Drosophila melanogaster: one gene and its partner. The protein of the gene in region 1 purifies or fractionates together with the protein of each later gene. This does not show direct contact. Each region holds a gene or a part of one and is shown in the gene's direction. Other genes may lie near its edges.

Evidence for each region.
Region 2: the proteins of Cip4 (region 1) and SCAR purify together in Drosophila melanogaster (affinity purification with western blotting, with the first as the bait; 2 studies listed by BioGRID). This does not show direct contact.

The regions. Positions count from the first base shown.
Region 1 is NT_037436.4:4,360,952-4,365,886, reverse strand, and holds the start of Cip4 (Cdc42-interacting protein 4), read left to right. Parts: upstream 1-1,912; 5' UTR 1,913-2,024; coding exon 2,025-2,139; intron 2,140-2,759; coding exon 2,760-2,860; intron 2,861-4,935. Other genes in the region: CG33514 (uncharacterized protein), read right to left, coding at 1-27, 87-391; mRpS6 (mitochondrial ribosomal protein S6), read right to left, coding at 677-1,075, 1,142-1,186.
Region 2 is NT_033779.5:10,974,996-10,982,771, forward strand, and holds SCAR (SCAR), read left to right. Parts: upstream 1-1,776; 5' UTR 1,777-2,075; intron 2,076-2,902; 5' UTR 2,903-2,966; coding exon 2,967-3,711; intron 3,712-3,884; coding exon 3,885-3,986; intron 3,987-4,637; coding exon 4,638-4,718; intron 4,719-5,449; coding exon 5,450-6,117; intron 6,118-6,183; coding exon 6,184-6,433; intron 6,434-6,491; coding exon 6,492-6,670; coding exon of another isoform or gene 6,671-6,727; 3' UTR 6,728-7,400; downstream 7,401-7,776. Other genes in the region: abo (abnormal oocyte), read right to left, coding at 1-217; ATPsynG (ATP synthase, subunit G), read right to left, coding at 907-1,166, 1,256-1,295; piwi (P-element induced wimpy testis), read right to left, coding at 7,663-7,776.

The DNA.
Region 1 (4,935 bases):
AGCGGAGTGGGCAGGTAGATGATGGCACTGAATTGACAGAATTGCATTGATAAATTAAATTAGTTAGCTGGCGTCAAAATCCTTACCCCGTTTGATGAATCTCCCGGAACTTGCTATCCGTGGTGTTGGTAACTCGGAAATAGTCCGGATACTTGGTCTTCAGCGTGTAGTACTTATCTAACTTGGACTTGGCCCGCTCCAAACTGTACTTGCAGCCGCGCAAGAAAGCCACCAGAAACTGATCATCCATTCGGGGATTTAGATGCGGCTGCTGCTCGATCCATGTCTTAAACGCCTGCAGATCGGCTTCGAGACGTTCGGGATCCTCCTTGAGCTGCTCCTTGGCAACTTTTTGCAGCTCTGGCGTAAGTGGACGGATTTGCGGTGACATTTCTAGGTCGTTTGCGGTCAGGAGGAAGTACTAGTGAACTGCTCGACGATTCTTGAGGCACTACCTGGACAATTTACGTTCTATTGATGGTCGATTATACGGAGCTTTATCAATTAATTGATAAGCGTCCGATTGGGCGCCATAAACCAAACAAAGACAAACATTGTGAAAAGTACTAAGATAACAGGCGCATTTCATAAGGAATGCTTCAGTTTGAATTAGCCAAAGATCGAGGAACCCACAACCGGTTTTAGCATACATAATTAACGCGTTTTATTTGGTGTTTTATTTTTGGAAGGGATAGTAGTCCAGGCCGGAGTTGTAGTTGAACTTCTTCTTTTGCTTCTTCTGGGCGGCCGCAATGATCTCCTGCACATCCTTGCGATACGCGGGTGGCAGCATCTCCTCGTGCAGCGTGCAGGGCTTCTGCTCGGGCTCCTCCACCTTGAAGATGTAGCGCCGTATGATGTCGATGTCGCGGCCAAACTCCTCCTTCAAGTCTGCGATCTTAGTGGGCGCCGTATCAAAGGCGATGGTGAAGTGGGTGCCTTCCCGGTGAACCACCCCGTGTTCGCTGACTTTGTGGGGCAGGGCGCGGGATCCCAGGTTCTCCAGCTTCCGGATAATGCCGCCCTTGTCCAGGATGGACTCGGCCGTTCGCCTAATCACGGAAATCAGTTCGGGCTGCGGGCGGTGTACAATTCTTATTTACTTTTATGTAACTGCCGGTGGATTTCATGTGCTACTCACGCGAGGCAATTGGCGGAGCACCAGTGCTAGTTCGTAAGAAGGCATTGTGACCGGTGAATTGTATGAGCTGGTAAGGAATTTAATTTCTTATATTAACGTTGTTTCTCTCAAGTTTTAATTCATTAAAAAGTTAGTAAATCTAATGTAATTGTTGACCCACCAGCTGATAGTGTTAACAGCTGATGCAAGGAAAGTACTAAAAATGATCTAGCGCCTGGCGCACATGCTTACACCTTACAGTGTGCCAAAATCTATTGCTCCAGTGAATTTAATGTTCAAATTAATATATTATATACAACAATAAGCGATGCTCTTGTTACTTTAAAAGCAATAAACAATAATAAGAAGTTTCTTCCAAGCTCAATAATAGCTTTCTTCATCTGTTTCAACGTTATGTTATTCCATAAAATTATTAGTTTTCAAGGCCACAATAATATATTTAAAAAGTCTACAATTAACGTTAAATTATAAAAAAAAATGGGGGCACGTATTAACGAAAGTTTCATATATTTTATATAATAATAATTAAACTTTACAGTTGCTCTCAATATGGGTTCATATCCCCGCTAGATGTTAAAGAGTTAGAAATTAGGTCGCCATCGGTCTCTGGTCACACTGCAAACGCAGAGGTGTGCCTATTCAAACACATTGCGGTCACACTGTGTATTGATGCCGAAGTGAAAAAACGAGCGGAAAGTTGCGAGCGGATAAAATTGTTTTTTCGCACGCCAAAAAGGAGAAACAAATGCTTGCGTTGTGTGAGTGCGGGTGTTTTAACTGTGTGCTTGTGTGTGTGTGCAAATGTCGCCCGAATTATGACGCATGCGAAAGTGCAGGCGCTAAATAAAACCCAAAATCGAAAGAAGTTGCAACTGCAAAGCAAATGCTAAAAAAAAAGTTAGCACAAATAACAAAAAAAAAAACGGTGGCAGATCTAGAAGCAGAGTGCGTGCATTCGGCAATTGCGTTTACTTGTGTGCGTGTGTGTGCGAAATTATGTAAATACAACAATAGTAGAATTCCAATTGTCCTCTCTTTCTGCTTTTCTCAATTATGAAATGCAGTTGCATCGCTCTCTATCTCTATCGCTCCCTCTCTCTCCTCACTCTCTTTGCGCATCGAAATGCCAGTGCATAGAATTTTCTTATTTTGCACTTATCACTAAACAACTCCCAAAAAAAGTGTTTAAATTCTCATTATCTATAATTTCCTTCAACTTCATTTTTCTACCTGCCGCTGCAACTGACACGTCTGCATTGCCACTCTTTTTTGTTTTTACATGCTTTCTTACCTGCCCAACCACCGAAAAAAAAAAAAACAAAAATGAAATATATCTGACTCGAATTGCTCTCTTTCATAGAAAATTAAACATCGCGCCGCGCAACGCTGAAAAAAATATAGAAAAACAAACGGAAAATGAAAACGAAAAAGCAGCCATAAAATTAATTAACCTTTGCGGGAAAATATAAAACAAAAACGAATAAAAGTTCTCATCTTTTGCTCTTCTCCCTCGCTTTCTACCTTTCTCCCTCTCTCCTCATCGTCTGTGGATTACATTATCTTCTGTGGATTATTATTATTAAAACAACAACAACAACGACGGCAACAACAAATACAGTGGCAAGCGGATCGAGCAGAAGCAGCAGCAACAACAAACTGGCCGAATCGGAAAACTCAGCGCAAAACTCCAACAACATGAGTTGGGGCACCGAGCTATGGGTGAGTTTTTCCTGGATTTAGAGGGGCTATATCTTCAGATAAGAAGTCGTATTTCATTGATAAAACAGGGGGTTCCTATAAGCAACAAATACATAGTTCTGCTTGTTTGAGGAGTATGAATGTATACCTATAGCTAAAAATCAAAACAAATTCGTAGTTTAGCTTGATCAGAATCATTAAGGTGTCCATTACCAGCTCAAAGAAGCTGGGGTCGGAAAAATCGAATTTTTGAAATTTGAAAGCTGGAATCGTTTGCCCATTTTTTGCCCATGTTTGCCCACCAATTAGTTTTTTTTGCCCACGTCCAGTTTTTGAGATATGAATTTTCGAAAAAGTTCGAAAATTTTCGAAAATCAAAAATTTCGCTTTTTTCAAATTTTTTTTTTTTAAATCGCAATAACATCGTTTGCCCACGTTTGCCCACCCTTTAGAATTTTGAAAAAATTTATACTTTAGAAAATATAAGGCTTTTAAGTTTACCTCGGTCTAATCAGAGAGTAAATCGTTTGCCCATCTCTTAAAACCAAATATTATCAACAAAAAACGTTTGCCCAACCATTATTATTAGTTTTTATCGTTTGCCCACCCTTTAAAAAACCTTTAACAAAAATTTTTTTTCGATTGCCCACACTTGAAATACAACTAATTTCGTTAGCCCACCTCTTCAAAATAAAACTTTTCAATAAAAAACGTTTTCCCACCATTTAAAAATAAATAATTTCGATTGCCCACCTTTTAAAACTAAATAATTTCGTTTGCCCATCCTTTAAAATTCATTTTTAACGTTTGCCCACCCTTTAAAATTTGTTTTTTTCGTTTGCCCACCTCTTAAAAATGGTTTTTTCGATTTTTCACCTATTAAAACTAAATTTGTACATATGTACATATGTAATAATTGTAAGATGTGGCGCCAAAAGCACAGTTACTTACAAAAGAACAGTTATTTACATATTTACATACATTTTCAATATATCCATAGTGTTAATCATTCATGAATTGTAACATCAATTTTTCTTAATCATTGTTTCATTTCATGGAAAATATTTTATATTGCAATATAATATATATGCAAAAAAATGTATGTATGTTTATCAACACTCTCCAAGCTCAAGAAAATTCTGGAATAAAATATTTTCCATGAAATGAAACAATGATTAAGAAAAATTGATGTTACAATTCATGAATGATTAACACTATGGATATATTGAAAATGTATGTAAATATGTAAATAACTGTTCTTTTGTAAGTAACTGTGCTTTTGGCGCCACATCTTACAATTATTACATATGTACATATGTACAAATTTAGTTTTAATAGGTGAAAAATCGAAAAAACCATTTTTAAGAGGTGGGCAAACGAAAAAAACAAATTTTAAAGGGTGGGCAAACGTTAAAAATGAATTTTAAAGGATGGGCAAACGAAATTATTTAGTTTTAAAAGGTGGGCAATCGAAATTATTTATTTTTAAATGGTGGGAAAACGTTTTTTATTGAAAAGTTTTATTTTGAAGAGGTGGGCTAACGAAATTAGTTGTATTTCAAGTGTGGGCAATCGAAAAAAAATTTTTGTTAAAGGTTTTTTAAAGGGTGGGCAAACGATAAAAACTAATAATAATGGTTGGGCAAACGTTTTTTGTTGATAATATTTGGTTTTAAGAGATGGGCAAACGATTTACTCTCTGATTAGACCGAGGTAAACTTAAAAGCCTTATATTTTCTAAAGTATAAATTTTTTCAAAATTCTAAAGGGTGGGCAAACGTGGGCAAACGATGTTATTGCGATTTAAAAAAAAAAAATTTGAAAAAAGCGAAATTTTTGATTTTCGAAAATTTTCGAACTTTTTCGAAAATTCATATCTCAAAAACTGGACGTGGGCAAAAAAAACTAATTGGTGGGCAAACATGGGCAAAAAATGGGCAAACGATTCCAGCTTTCAAATTTCAAAAATTCGATTTTTCCGACCCCAGCTTCTTTGAGCTTCCATTACCTCCTATATTCTTGGATATTAAAGAGGCGCTTATCTTCAGATAGGCTATATATATTGAAAGGCTCCAAACCTAAAATATAGATAGAAA
Region 2 (7,776 bases), on another chromosome or scaffold:
ACAGTTTTCTGCCATCCGGCGTAAACTTGCGCAGGTAGATCGGCGGAATGGTAATCGAGTCAATTGTCAGGCAAGGCGTGATGCACTTGTAGAAGAGACGCTCGTAGGCCAACAGCGGCATCCTGCCCGGCTGTTGGCCCACGTTGGTGTATCCGGACTCGCGGTTCTGCAGCAGATGCACGAGGTTCTGCGATTGTAGGCGCTTCTTGTAGGCCATTCTGACAGATCCTGGGAAAGTTCTGCCAAGTTCCTATTCCTAATGTCAGCCGGGTTCTTCTTCCGATCGGAAGGTAACTAAAGTAAAGTGTGACCGCAGTTAGATTACAAAAATTTACTCTGTCTACAAAAGTTTTGTTGTTAAAAAATATAAGTATAATAATAATAATATTAATGCTTTTCAAGATTCAAATAAAAAACGTTATTTATAAATAAAATAATTCAATACATCTTACTTTACTTTGTTTAAAAAAATGTGTAAATGAATTATCTATGAAAAGCAAATTTAGATTTATTTATTTTTTTTTTTAAATAAAATTATTCTTGAGTGCTTTTAAATGCTCTAAGTATATTATGTATTTCTGAACCATTAGCCTCTTTGATTACGACACCGTTTCATAAACATTTGATGTATAACATTACATATATTTTTTTAATTTTTATCATTAAATATCGTCAACTTTTAATTCCAAACTTGGTTTTACATCACCTCATCTTTAGCTTACACAAATCCCGCGCAAACGTTCTAACGGTTTTCAAAAAACAATGTATTTTTCGAAAATTTTCGGAATTTTAAATTACTATTTCACTTTATTCAGAGTCGAAATGTTCGCAGACATATAAATATACACATCTGTTAGGGATTACGTTGCCCATTCCAGTGACTGCCAAGCGGAGACTATAGTAAGCTTAGACATTGTAGCCTACAATGTGACGCTTGCCGATGCACTCGCCGATGTAGAACCAGAAGATGACCTCGGCGGTCACCAGGGTGTTAAGCCAGGCCTCGCGAACCGTGAGGTTCTTGTAGGCGCCGGTCTTGGCTCCCTTGATGATGTTGCCCAGTCCTTGGCGAATGGCCGGAATATCGGCGGGCGTCGGGGGCGTCAGTTCCACCTTGGCGTACTTCAGGAACACGTCCAGTTGGGGCCTCGCCTGTGTGAGGAGCCCTGCAAAAAGTGATCATTACATAATTTTGCGATTGACAGGCGCCAATGGTGGTGTATCCATTCGATTGCATTCGATTCACGACACTCACTGTTCACAAGTCCTGATCCCTTGGTAGCCAAACTCGCCATCTTTTCAATTTGGTTCTGCAAGCAGTTGGAATTATACAAGAGGAAATCAACGAAATGTGCGGAAAACTTACCTATTCAGTGTGCGACGAAACAGAGATGTTATGCATTGGGGCCAGGGCTGGAGCACTAGTTATCGATCGGCGGATAAATACCAAAAATACCAAATATACATTTCTAAAGTTAATGGAAGAAACTGCAAACAGTAATTTTAAATAACGTTAATAAAATAGCTTATTATGGATAATATAGAGTTAAAATAAAATAAAATAAATTGAATATATATTTATATTTAAAATATTTCATTCTATACAGTAAATAAACAATATGAAATGAGTTACTGAAAATTCCCTTGCAAAATTTATTTAAATATAGTAATTAAAATACATATTACATTTAATATAAAAATAACTTTTTCCCCACCGCATCGTGCAGTATATTTGTCTGATTTTCCGAAATGATGAATCCCTGCAGTATTTTCGAACCACAAAGCTTCGGTCACACTGCAAAGGTGTGGAAATCTTAGTTTCCACAAAACGAGCAAATATTTGCAGTTTTCAAGCCCCAAATTGGCTAATTAGAGTTCGCATCGGATCGAATTTGCCACCGAACCCCCGAAACGGAAGTGGCTGCTTAATGTTTGTTGTGGTGCCAGCCGCCAAACGAAAAGTGTGACGGGCGGTGAGTGTACGATATGCTGTAAAGTGAGGTGGACTGTGTAAAACTAAGCTGCGCCGTTCAAAACCAAAATCAAAATCGCAGCAGCCACTACGATTAGAAAGTGTGAGAGATACCTTTGTGTGTGCATTGTTGCGATTTAGTGCGAATGTTTCAGTGCGAAAATCTGAAAGAGTCAGCCGTTCCGTCCCACACATATGTATGTACATTTACTTGGGTGCTGCTGCTGCTGCGGTTCATGCGTGTGTGTGAGTGCGTGACGGTCTAATTTGCGTTGGTGGGAGGCCGCCGACGATATACGTATATGCACGTATGGAATAGGTGCCCACGTAAAGGCCCCAGGTCGTAGCACCCAGAAACTGCCACCGAAAAGGGGGGCATTATCGACTAATCTCGCCGGGACTGCAAGGTGCATCTTGCGGGGGTGACTTGGGCGTTACGCCCTTATCACCTCGCTGTGGGTATCGTTTCGTGGGGTGTGGTCCAGACGTCGAGTTCGTCAGTCGCGCATATCACAAAACAATTCAAATGGCATTTTGGTGATTGTAATGAACACGTCTCATGGATACATGGATAAGCGTCTCGTGAAATCTTCTGCAATACCATTCTGAGTCTTGTTCATAGACGGTTTAGTATAGTGATGACAAAATTTCTTTTAAACCAATTTTGATAGTATCCAATTAACTTTTTAAACGTCTACTTTTACGGGAAAATTTATAAACAAAGTTAAACGACAATTTGGGAAGTACAATTTTATCGGAATGAAATGTCTTCAATTGATAATCAGCATAAAAAGAAATCTTTTTATTATTGATCCCAATTTGGCATGAGATTATGTAGTAAATCAGTAAATAAAGGGTTTTATATTTAATTAATTTTAAATGCATTAATTCGTATTAAAACAATTTATTACTTATTAATGCCGTTTTCAGTCGATGAGGACGCACTAATTTACGGGTTTGCCAATTTGGAGATAATTGTCAATCGCGCCCGACCATGCCGCTGCCCAAACGATCCATAGAACCCGTGCATGTGGCCCGCTCCGTGTATCAGCAGGATGAGCTGCAATCCGTGGAGCTGGAGACGGTCACCAACACCACGCTGACGAACATCATTCGCCAGCTGTCCTCGCTGTCCAAGCACGCAGAGGATGTGTTCGGTGAACTGGCCCGCGACGTGGGCAACATCGGGGATCGAGCTAACTCCCTGCAGGCGCGCATCGATCGCCTAGCTATCAAAGTTACCCAGCTGGACAGCACAGTTGAGGAGGTGCCCTTGACGGACATTACCCGAAAGAAGGCCTTCAAGTCGGCCAAGGTTTTTGATCAACAGATCTTCTCGCGCGCCACCATGCCGGCACCAATGATGGACACATATGCCCAGTGCGACAAACCGCCGCCCCTCGACAAGCTTAATGTCTATCGAGACGATGGCAAGGATGGTCTTAAGTTCTACACGGATCCGAACTACTTCTTTGAGTTGTGGCGACAGGAGATGCTGAAGGATACCGAACGTGTGATGCACGACAAGGGCAAGAAGCTGAACAGACCGCGGCAGGATGGCGGTGCCGGCGGAGCTGCTGGACGTGGCAATAAGAAACAGAAGACCAAAATAAGGGTGCCGCACAATACGCGCGAACAGCAGCGACAACGTGCACTGGTGCACGGCGAAACATTGATGCCCAACAACGTCATCTACCGCACACCGAATTCCATGGTCAACGAAGAAGCCGGATACGGAAGTAAGTACTTGGCGAAAGGGATTGGTCTCCGTGTGAGCCAAGTATTCAGTGCGAACCAAATTCATAGGCTGTTATTGGTACGTTCGTTTCGCGCACTGACTATTTGCACTTGTCTTGCCTATTGAATGGTACATCTATTTTAATTATCAATTATGTCCTGTCTGCCCGTGTAGTTCAGCTAGTCAAAATACAGACTGTGGGCGAGGCTGACATCGATTTGCGGCATAGCACTCTCGATGCGCACCACCAAGTTGTCGGTAATATCCAAGACGTAGGTACGATGATGGGGCCACGTAGCTTTCATTTCCGCCCGGCAGACATCCCACGATACAGATGTACCCGCCATTCATTCACCTACTTCACTCAAAAGCTCGCTAGTTTTCGATGCGCCTCAAAACCCAGTTCGAAGATCACTAATTTGTATTATTTTGAAGTTGCTATTAATTGAAATTAACCCACACAATCATGACCCAGAGAAAGGTGACCGAAACAAAGTTTCCAGAGCTTAAAAAATAAATGAAATGGTACTTAACATAAATTCCATCTAAAGTTTGATTAAAATCTCAGATACAGGATATATTCGATCTAATTCATTATTATTACACCATTAGCAAAATGGTCTATGGCCAGTCTAGTTCATCCTCCTGTAAGTTAGCAAGACTTTCGAACTTGATTTGTCTCTAATTTGAATTCACTGACTTTGTTCCAATGAAGTTCGTCTTGTTGATGGTAAATACAATACGGTCAGAGAACCTTACAATTTCATTCTCCGAATGGTCGATTATTTTTCGCAGCTTTTATTTATTTGCATGTTGTTTTTATGAACTACTCTTTCGTTGTTTTCGGTTATGATATTAATGAACGTGAACATAAATATGCATTGCAATTACGAATGGATCAATCGCGCATAACCATCTCATTTACAGATACAGTAAAGCCTTATAATATGCTTTCGCATTTGGAGAATAACAGTAATGTCACCAAGCAAACCGCCGTTGCGATTGCAGGTTAGACATCCACATCCACTTTTAGCAAGCTCAGTAAAGACTATATATGTTCTTTCACTCGCTTCTATCCCCATATTACCTTACTAGCAATCCTTTTTGAGTTCCTTTAGCATTTGTGTGTACAGAGAACACTCTCTTTTTCAAACTATCAATCGGAATGGCGATGATTTATGAGTTTCATTGGTCATGCAAAGTGCAGATTTATTATCTCAAAACACTGTAAACTAGTCACCTTCTAACTTGCAATTTTAATGTAATGTGTGTGCACATTATATTTACAATGCATCTTGCATTTTGCATAATACTTTAATTCATTTCATACTCGCGATTCGTGATTGAGCCGCAGTTTTTGTTTAGGATCCTCCTATCTTTCTGTTGTAGTTCAGTCAATTTCCATATCTACGTCTACATGTCACTCTGCAGCTTTACTAATTCCTTTCTGTCGCCACATCTTATTCTACGAAAGTATCTCTAAATTGTTTTCTGTGCAACGAGCTAACAAAGACTTTTAATCGGATGTTTGTATATTCAACAAAATTTCTATTCGAGTCCAGCGGTCTCATATGCACAGAAATTTGGAATTGCTTGTAATTACATATGTGTCTTATTGTTCCTCGGCTGTAATTACAAAATAATTGGCGTGTTTTTAAATGAGATGTGTGTCCTGTAAAAACGTTCATTTTAATGGGTGGTTAGTCAACGGCTCTAATATCTCACATTCATTATTCTAGATATGGGAGTGTACGATACACGTCCGCCACGTCCTAACTCGATCGAATTGAACCGAAGCTATCAGTCGGAGCAGATCGATGGTAGCACCTACGAGCAGCTTCCACCGCAGATGGGTAATCAGTATGCTGCCACCTTCGGCAACGGCATGGGTGGCCCCCAGCAGATGCACATGCAGCATCAGCAGATGTATGACGCCGGAATGTATCAGTCGCATGCGCTGTACGGCCAAACTGGACAGGGAGTGATGTCGCCGGAGCCCATCTACGGACCGGGAACACCGTCGCGTAACAAACCGCGTCCGTCGCAGCCGCCACCGGCTCCGCCATCGAATGGCAGCGGTGGTGGTACGCCCACAGCCTCCAATGCCAACACTCCGACAAGGGGCAGAAGTATGTCGACCAGTCGGGATGCCTTGCCACCGCCTCCACCAGTTCCAGACGTCATTTCACCAATGTCTGGCATGAACGGAGTCAACAGCGGGCATATGGCGGCCAAACTGCTTGGCCGGGCGAACAGTTCGTCGGGAGCTGGATCTCCCAACAGCGTCCAGAATGCCAATGATATGGTCATGACGCAACTGAGCAATACTTTCCACAGCATCGGTATGACGGGCAATCAACTGAACTCCCTTAGCGACTTGCCGCCACCGCCGCCGGTTCCAGATCAGGTTTGTTGTTCACTGATGGGTGTTAATATATCACAATTTGGTTTAATTTGTGGCAAAACCTTACAGCACTCGCCTAAGATGTCGCCACCTAATGCCGCGCCACCACCGCCGCCGCCACCGCCTCCAGTCGAGGAAGGCATGGGCAGTGGCAACCAACACACGCTGCGCCCGCATCAAATTCTTCCCAAATCACTGGCCAATGGCGAAATGCAGCAGCCCGGCCAACAAAATGGTGTGCCTCACATTGTCGCACCCAAGAAGATGCTGCCTCCATTCCATGACCCACGCAACGACTTGATGAAGGCCATTCGAGATGGTAAGTAATTGCCATTCAAGGTTCGAATGCAAAAATATCATCAAATTAATCTTTCCAGGTATTACTCTACGTAAAGTTGAAAAGTCAGAGCAAAAGGAAATTGAACGAAACGCGGCGCCATTGGATGTGGCTTCAATCTTGGCCAGACGTGTGGCTATCGAATTATCCGAGTCCGAGGATTCGGATAGCGAAGACGACAGCGAGGGCTGGATGGAACCGAACGAAACATCGGCTTGATCCCTGATTAACTCGTTAAAGCCTGACATAATTCTAAAAAACAAAAAGAAGAAGTAATTCCAAAGAGAATTAATCCATACGATGGTCGAAACCAAGCGTGGTATGAAATTGGATTACACAAAAGCACCAAAGCTTTTCTACCACCCTTTATACAATATACACCTAATCCTAAATAATATGTCTAAAATCAAAAGTTTCATTGAATTGTATATACACCAACGAGTAATTATCGTTAAATTAATCGCTATAGTGAACGAACGCATTTGCATTTTAAGCCTAGACGACAATCCAAGGAAAGCGATTTAAAAGACTTGCTAATTTTGTTCGCTTCTTTGGAGTCAAGGTCTGAGTAGATATGGGCTTCTGTATCATAGTAGTCGGTGTTTGGATATTAAATTATAAATAATCGATATTATCACTGAACTCAATCCTACCCCAACTTGCAATCGATACGATTAATATAAAACATTTATCCAAAATGAAAATTTAGAATTTTGTAAATACAAACACATTAAAATATATCGAACTCCGTAGCATTTCAGTATACTCAACAAGCTATGAAATTGTATTATCCTTGTGAAAGTTAAATACCTGTATAATTAATAAAATATGTTTCACGAATATAAGCAGCCATGAATGTGTGGTTAAGTAAGCAAACATGGATGTATGTAATTTTTCTTTACATAAACTAAAATATACAATAAAAAATAAAGTAATTATATTCCAAATTAATGAACATGTCTTGATAGATAACTTTAAATGTTTGTTTGGGAATTTCCTCTGGTCTTATGCTTAAATACCAGAATCTTAATCCTCAATTTTGCTTTTGTTTGAAAAAAGAGCAGTAATGCATTTCAAATACAAAATATTTAGTCATAAATGCTGAAGTGCTTAGCAAAAGTAAGAAAGTATTGAAAAAGTATAAATGTCTGGGCTAGTTTCATATATGGCCTCTTAGTAAGGATTAATACTCCATTCTAAATTATATCCAATTATAGATAATAAAACTTCTTTTCGAGCGCGTTTTGCGGAATAGAGTGCAAGTTCGTACCCACGAGGGTAGCTAGCTTCTTAGCGTACTGGCAAACTGCTGGCACTCGTGTGGT